Linked DNA regions of Drosophila melanogaster. The protein of the gene in region 1 interacts with the protein of each later gene in a pairwise test. Each region holds a gene or a part of one and is shown in the gene's direction. Other genes may lie near its edges.

Evidence for each region. The genes of interacting proteins can lie anywhere in the genome.
Region 2: the proteins of RNF220 (region 1) and CG13001 interact in a two-hybrid assay, tested with the Drosophila melanogaster proteins (2 studies listed by BioGRID).

The regions. Positions count from the first base shown.
Region 1 is NT_033777.3:22,723,989-22,728,052, reverse strand, and holds RNF220 (ring finger protein 220), read left to right. Parts: upstream 1-1,638; 5' UTR 1,639-1,783; coding exon 1,784-2,980; 3' UTR 2,981-3,169; downstream 3,170-4,064. Other genes in the region: CG45049 (uncharacterized protein), read right to left, coding at 562-746; Irp-1A (iron regulatory protein 1A), read left to right, coding at 3,529-3,541, 3,602-3,694, 3,766-3,935, 4,002-4,064.
Region 2 is NC_004354.4:16,940,210-16,944,879, reverse strand, and holds CG13001 (uncharacterized protein), read left to right. Parts: upstream 1-2,008; 5' UTR 2,009-2,297; coding exon 2,298-3,305; 3' UTR 3,306-3,794; downstream 3,795-4,670.

The DNA.
Region 1 (4,064 bases):
GAAATTTTGAACAAATATTATAAAACAGAGTCTTCTTATTATCGATCTTGCTCAATAGTTGCTAACAAATAGGAAGTGTATCAAAATTTCGTTAAAACTGCATATTATGCCTAATTCGCACGATTCCCTGCCAATTTTAATATCTTCAGATACGCAAACAAAGATGCATATGTTTGTGTAAGTAGATGTTGCGTCTAATGTATCTCAAGATATTTCGACGGGCTAGACGGAGATAAATATAGTTTTACATATAGCGGCTAGAAATGTGGAATAAAAACAAAAACACATTTCGCAGATGAGCGAGTACCGACTTTGTGTGTGTGAGTGTGTGTGTGTGAATGAGTGGCATGGCAACAGGATCATAACGGTTAATTGCTATATAGAACGTAACGGTAACGGCAGGCAAAATTGGGGCAAACGGCCAAATGCAAAACAACAACAATGGCAAGGGCGAGGGAATTCGTATACACGTATGTTTATATATGTGTGTGTGTGTGTTGTGTGCTATGCGGAAGAACGGAAGCAAAACAAAATGCGATCTGTTTGAGTTCAGGAATATACCTTTCCTTGTAATAGTCCAGGGTTACCGATTCGGAATCAAATTCTGAATAATCTGGCAGCGATTCGGCATCAAAGGAGCTCATTCCGCTGAGCGTGTAATTGGGCAAGACGTTCATTTTGTTGTTGTAGCCAACAAGGTTACCCTGCTGCTGTTGTTGTTGCTGCTGCTGGTACTGCTGATGCATAGTTGTTGCTGTTTTTTCTACGTTTATTTTACTATATTTGCCTTATTTAACAATATGGCACACGCACACACACTCACGCCCAGGAGAAACTGGCTGCTATATTTTTTCTCTATTCTCTTTTCGCTGCCTTTTCACACTCTCGCCGTCTGCTTTGCACTTTCGCAAAAATATGCGTCGGTTTTGGGTTCAACCTGTATGCACTTACACTCTGCTTGAAAAGCTCTGTCGCTTTTCCACTTTCACATGTTCCTCGACCACTGACTTTTCTATATAATCAAAAAATAAAAACGACGAAAATAATAATGTTTTGCTTCCCTCATAGAGCTGGAACTTAAATCGATGTTGTCTCGATACTATCGTTTTGGCTGGGCATTTCTCGATAGCGATAAAGTGCCATGGAACTATCAGTTAATTTACATTTACCGTCAAATTATTTAATTTAACGAAGAAAGGAAATTAAAATAGCTTACATTTCGGATGTTTAAACTTTTATCAAAGCGGGGGCTGTGCTTTATAAAAATTTCCTAACAGTGAGGGAGAGACACTATCTGTCACATGTTATATCGGGCATGTAAACAACGCAATCTGATAATATATATATATTGCTGTATTAAGACCAACCAGAGTAGAGTAAAAATTAAGAAATCAGTACGTTTAATTATTTTATTGTAAGACTTAAGGTCAAAAGAGTTGTTGGAATGCAAAATGCAAACTTTGAAGTTTTAATTAACACGGAATTCAAACAAATAATCAATTATTATAAAGATATTTTTAAGTGAATAAAATTTTAATTATTGCTTAAGCATATTAATCACTGTGCTTGGCGCTTTTGTAACGGTTTTACGATGTATATCGCAATGACCACTTCCACTGACACGAAAAATAACGAAATCAGTGTGACCGTTTTCCACCGTACGAGAACGTAAGAAATCGGCGTCGCGTGGCTTGGACAGAGATTATCGAACAAAACAAAATCCGACTACAGAATCTTTTAACTTCGTTTACCCTTAAGAGTCCGCGGTGGATCCGAGGAATCGATGGCTACGGACACGGTGTCCAACGGCGAGAACTTCGCCCAGCACTTGAGCAGAAACAGCGACGACGACGTGATCTGTCCCACATGCGACGTGAAGATCAAGCGCAGTCAGGTGGCCGATCACTGCCAAGTGGAGATGGAGCGATTGCACAATCCCATTAGCGCTGTCACTCCACCGACCCCAACTAGCGGAGCAACCGCGTCCGAGGAATCCGGTTCGGTATCGGGGGGCAGACAACCGTGGAGCGTGTTCCAGCGGGTGCAGCGCAATCGGCAGGCCCGTCAGCGCCAGCGCACCAGGAAGCGTCCGGCTTCTCCTGCCCCACCAGCAACTGTAAATCCTACGGTAGCAGCTGCTCCTCCTCCAGCTGCAGCAACTCCGTCCGTAGCTGCTGCCGAATCGAGCCAACCCACCTGTCCCGTGTGCAACCACAACTTTCCGCAGTCCAACATCCAAGAGCATGTTAATCATTGCCTGCGCCAGAGCCGCCGCAATGGTCAGGCCAATGGTGAGCGGCATTCGAGTGAGGACTCGGAGGACAGCGAGGAATATGAAGAGTACGAGTGGGCGGGACAGAAGCGCATTCGCGTCTCCACTCTCGTGCAAGGAGGCTATTCCGCCCTGGGCCTGGGCCAGAGAATCAAATACAATGGCAGTCAGCAGGCGCAGGACGACGAGGACGAAGATCTCAACGTGGACGAGGATGACACTCACATCTATGGTCCTACGCAGTATGGCGAGGGCGATGTGATCCCACTGGTCAACGAGGACACAGAGGGAAATGTTTCCGAGGCGGATGTTACCAGCTACGTGCGCCGACTTATCTCCTCCAGCGATGGGCCCAAGCCAAACCATTCCAGCGAAGCCACCGAGCAAGAGCCTGCCAGCACAAGCAACGTGGAGGCTCCACCAGCCAGCGAGGAGCCGTCTACGTCGCGGTCCACGCGATCCACCTCCCAAAACCAGCAGCAGATCATCGAATCGCTGAAGGCCAAGCTGCGGCTCTACGAAAAGCAGGCGCAGGGCAAGTACAAGTGCCTGATCTGCATCGACGACTACAAGAATCCCGCCATCTCCGTGTCCTGCTGGCACGTCCACTGCGAGCAGTGTTGGTTGCAGACGCTCGGCGCGCGAAAGCTGTGCCCGCAGTGCAACTCGATTACCACGCCGAAGGACCTGCGACGAATCTACCTGTAGACGTCCATCACAGACTTGTTATCCCCGCTGCCAAATTGCTTGCGCCATAAAACAGGCTTTGCATCCCGACGCAGCTTTAGATGATAATCCCCTATACATATTATTTATATAGATTACAAATACCAATTATACTACGTGACATTACAATAAGCCTACCATGTAACTATTGCAATAAACCGCAGAAAACATAATTAATATTTAAGTTTATTTAACGAAATTAGCATGTAGGAAGGGAAAAGCGTTTAAAGACATGCAAACAAGTTATTTTAAATACCTTATTTTGAACTAAAATAAAAAAGCAATCAATCCAATATTATATCCAATATTATTTTCGAATCACAAAAATGATAAATTATTCCACTATAATTTACAAATGTTTCATTTTAAGTAATAAATAAATATTTTTTACTGTGTACCGGTTTGTTTTCATGTTCAGTTATCGATAATATAATGTTTGCGTTAGTGATGAGCAAGTTTTGCCTGGTAGCGGTTCCTCACGCGCTCATCTCTATATCACATTGCTTGGTTTTCTGTTTAATTTTTCCACAATGTCCGGCTCCGGTGGGATTTAATTGGAAAAAGGAGTATTTGATCTGTACGCTAATCCTGTCTTCCTTGCAGGCGCCAATCCCTTTGCCCAGTTCCAGGAGTCATTCACCCAGGACGGCAACGTCTACAAGTATTTTGATCTGCCCTCCATCGACAGCAAATATGGTTGGTAATCGTTATTGTTGTTCGTTATCATTATTGTTGTTATCTTTATGAATATTATTAACCCCCCACAGAGTCACTGCCCTTTTCCATTCGCGTTCTGCTGGAATCAGCGGTGCGCAACTGTGACAACTTTCATGTGCTGGAGAAGGATGTGCAGAGCATCCTGGGATGGACTCCATCGCTGAAGCAGGAAACCAGCGATGTGGAAGTCTCCTTCAAGCCAGCTCGTGTTATATTGCAGGTGTGGATTATTGCATCACATAGATTATGTTTGTATGTGACTTCTTAAGATATTCCCTGCTTTCAGGACTTTACTGGCGTTCCCGCCGTCGTGGATTTTGCTGCCATGCGGGATGCTGTCCGCGAGCTG
Region 2 (4,670 bases), on another chromosome or scaffold:
GAGATGATAGATTACAGCTCTTCCCATTTAATATAAATATAATGCACATAGAGTGAGCAGCTAACATTATCTTTTAGTAATCATAATGTTTACGGATCATAGATACATTAGGCTCTAAAAATCCAAATATTTGTCAACTCACGAGTTTGTTGTATTTCACGTACCCCAACGAACTTATGCATAGTGTACTTTATTTATTACCATAACTAAAAGATCTTGAGAGGCTTTTATTTATTTAGCCCAATTTTCGGACTTATCGCCTGGATTGATCGATTAATTTGGTTATTGATTCTTCTGCGAAAGTCAAAGGGAAAAGCGCATCCAATCGGAGAATGTGTGTCGGCTGTCTTAATATGTTTATAATTGACTTAATTGCCAAACAATTAAGAACAGCAACAAAATGTGTCAAACGATGGAAAGAGAGAGAGAGAGAGGGAAGAGCGGTGGAGAGATGGAGCGAAGAAGCGCAACAGGTGACACCTGTCCCGCTCGCACAGTCTATCGCTAAATGGGAGCGATAAGCAGTTAGAAGCGAAATATATGTGTGTCAAAAATTATCATACATACAAATGTGTACACAGCCATAGTGGTTTTATAAATTTAGGAAAAAATATCATTATATTGCATAAAACGCATAGGTGGCAAAAACACTAAATTAAAATATAATACAAATATATAAACATATACTAACGAAATGTTTTTAAACATTTCAAAGTATAATGATTAAAATTCACAATGTTATCAATATTGCCGTATTTCGCATTATTTATATTTGATTTATTGTAGATATTACTATTATTTGGCACATAGCTGTCACTAAAAATTATCAGCCAACTAACACAGACACACAGCCCGTATGTAAACACGGATTGATTAGAACGCATTGAAGAGAGAAGAGACCATTGAAAATCGAAGCCCGCAGAAAAAGAGATCGCAAAGAAACTGCGGCTTTCAAATAAAAATAATAAAAATCGCTTTTACCTTTCGCTTTTTCCTTGTTAAAAATTTCGTATGCAGTTTCTGCGTGGTCAACTTAACTTCGTTTTATATTCACAACACACACAAACACAACCAGAGCACAACAATAAAAAACGAAAACAAAGAGTGTGAGAGAGAGGGAGAGAGCGGTGGGCGAAAAGCAAAGTCTCTGCTAAATTGCTAAGCTGATTTCCCACACATATCGATATTGCACTGATATTTTACTGCCGCAACTAGTTGACACATTTCCACAAACATTTCGGCCCAGTTTACTAATATTTGTTTATTTATTTATTATTCTTGCGGAATGAATCACTTGCGGAATGTTTCACACACACATACGCGCGCGTACGCATTGTTTGCATCTGTCTCTCTCTCTCGCGCGATCGATGTCTTTTTTTGTTGTTGTCTCCAAAAGGGAACAACAACTATTCGCTAAACAGAAGTTGACAATTCGCGGATGGAAAAGTCATGACCAGAACAAGATTCTTTGTTTTTGTCCCCAATGCCCGCTTTCCGAACCGGATTTTCCGATCCGAACGATCTGCGACCGATCGAAGAATACAAATGCATAATGTAATATAACGGGGCGCGCCTAGTGTGACCGTTGGCGGAAAGACAGCGAATGCCGGCAAAACTAGTTACTAAACTAGTAGCTAGGATACAAGTTATTAATTTTAGTTATATGTAATAATGTAAATTTTAATACTAACGTTCTTTCCATATAACTGAAACATTTTATATCAATAGTTAACTGAATATTATCTCGGCATGAATGCCAGATTTAAGTTTTTTGCCACAGCAACTGGAATTTACCGGATTTTTAAATTTTAAAGCAGCGCCCACGGTAAAATCAGTAAAGCACTTTAACTATAGTGTAATCATTTAAGTAAATTTGTACGTATAAGGAATTGGAATTGGAAGGAATTTGTTTTCTATTTAAAAAACGATATATACCGCACTGCCAGCTATCGATAGCAAATAATCGGCTGGTCGTGATTAAATGTAAAAATTACTTCCACGCTCTGGTAACACTGCATTGTATACCAGAAAAAAATGGTATTAGCATTAGCAGAGAAAAAATCAAATAAATAAAGAAAAAATCAATTAAAAGTGCGCCATTCCAAAGGATTATCCCAAAAGACGCGATCATCCATATCAGATGCTTAAGAATCGGCCGGAAAATCCGACATCGAACTATTAGGCTAGTGAAAAAGTGCAAAATAAACATTCGCCCAGTGGAGGGGGCCATACAGAAAACACTCGAGAGTCTTTCGAAAATACACATATTATACCACACGGATCGTTTTGGATCTACAATGGCCACCAGCGAGATCTCGAGCTCCAATGAGCGGCACTACTACGCCAAACTGGAGGCCATCAAGGACATCAGGGACAAGACGCTGTCGCTGGAGAAGCTCAAAGTGCGGATCATCAAGGAGGTGAAGCTGAGCGACGACGAGGAGAAGTGCCTGGAGGAGTACCGCAAGGAGATGGAGCACCTGCTCGAGGAGAAGATGTCGCACGTGGAAGAGCTGCGCCAGATCCACGCGGACATCAACGACATGGAGAACATCATCAAGCAGACGAAGGAGAACCAGACCCGCTCCTTCGACATGGCCAACCGGGTGTACGAGGAGTACCTGGCCCTGAAGTACCAGATTGATCACATGCGCCGCGACTATCTCGGACTAAGCCCGCTGCGAGATCTGCACGAGGAGGAGGGCAGTCCCATTTCGAAGGATCGCTTCCAGACCAACTTCCTTAAGGTGGCCGCCCAGTCGGCGGCAGCAGCAGCTGCTGCAGCTGCGGCGGCGGCCTCGGTTAATCAGAACTCGTCGTTGGCCCGTCCGCATGCCCGGCATCCTCTGATGCCGGAGGCCACGGTCACCGCGCTGCCTTCTGGCGGCGGACAGGGCGGCGTTGGTGGTGGCGGCGCTGCAGGCGGTGGCGGAGGATCTGTGGGCGGCGGAGGCGGTGGTGGCGGCAATCCTGGACACGCCTTCATGCCACCCGCACCGCCGGGAGCAGGCAGTGCTGCTGCCGCCGCCGCTGCTGCTGCAGTGCGTCTGGGCAAGGGTGACTTCTCAGCACCACCGCCACCGCCGCCGCCCAGCAATCGACTGCAGCAATCGCCTTCGATCGGCATCGGCCACCATCCCTCGTTCCGCTCCGACTTCAATGTGAATCTCCGCCAGCAGCCGCCGCCCATGAAGTCCTGTCTGTCCTGCCACCAGCAGATCCACCGGAACGCGCCCATCTGTCCGCTCTGCAAGGCCAAGTCGCGCTCCCGCAATCCGAAGAAGCCCAAGAAGAAGAACAACTAAGTGGCCACCGCTCCAGACCAGCAACTACACTCATCTTAAGTCCGGAGCTGGTTCCGGAAACTCAGCGCACTAAATCGAATGCGTTTTTTTTTTTTTGCCTCATCTATTTATTATTAATCCCAATGAAAAGTATTACAACGACGCAAGGCGGGTGTGCTCATGATTATCGGAGAAGATTTAAAAGAATGTCAAATACTTGCATTAATATTTTATACATTACTAGTGTATTTGAAAATCGATGAAGAAATTATTCATGACACGCCGGCCGCTAACAAATTCTCATAACAATTTTAGTTGGTAAACTCAATGAATTTGATTTTTATTTTAACTATAATCATAGGCTAAGTATTTTTTAAAAGCTCAAATAACGTGTCAAATTATCGAGAACAAAAATTTTGTTTATACATGTAAGCCATGCTAAATATGCAACTATGTTATATTTAAGCAGCAAAAAAAAAACACAAATATCAATAAAAATATTTCATTTTTAAATGGGTTCTTTTGGTTATAGATTAAATTATTTGGATTATTGGATTTGATTTTATATGTGTGTATTTTAATACAATAACTATAACTGATGTTTATATACTTGCATTATATTTTATACATTTTACATTTGCCATACATCGTTTGTGAACTAAAGAGTATTGTAGATATACAACGTACTAAAATTTAGATCCATGGTATTTTGGCCTGTCCCTGCACTTGGTCACACCTAGCTTAAGCCGAGCAAAAAGTTCGGATTTTTATTCAATTTTTTAATCCAGCCCGCAAAACAACAAATTCGTATTGTTTCAAATTGTTTCAATTGCAATTTTAGTGAAACATAGCAACAACCAGTTCAAATTGAACGCATCAGTGCACTTGGTTTTCTTTTTTTTTTTTGTTTTTGTGGATCAGTTTGTCGTTTTTGTTCTTGTTGTCGCTGCGTGCGTAGAATTTGTGAAAAGAGAAAGTTCTGCGCCGCGTCTTTCTCCGCCTCTCTTTCTCCAATTCTTCGCACAGTCGTGGCCAAGAAGTTGCGCCTGCGCAGCGACAATTTCACAAGAAATCGAGGTCGATCGCAAGTGGGTAAGTATCTTTCACGGAAAGTGGCCCAAAAAGTGATGTTTAAAGACTGGAACTAAAATAATAACAATAAATTAATTATATATCCTCGAAACTCTTTGCTGTATGTAGTCTTCATAAGAGTTTTCTTTATAGGCCACCGTTCTTTATTCGTTGATTTAAAATACGTAAAGCTTATCTTCAATCAGTTAAATGTGCTACATCAAATCGTGTTACTTTACTTAAAATATTCATATATATTTTAATATATTGTTATGTGTTGTATATTAGATATGCTTGTTATGTTATTGCTCAGCG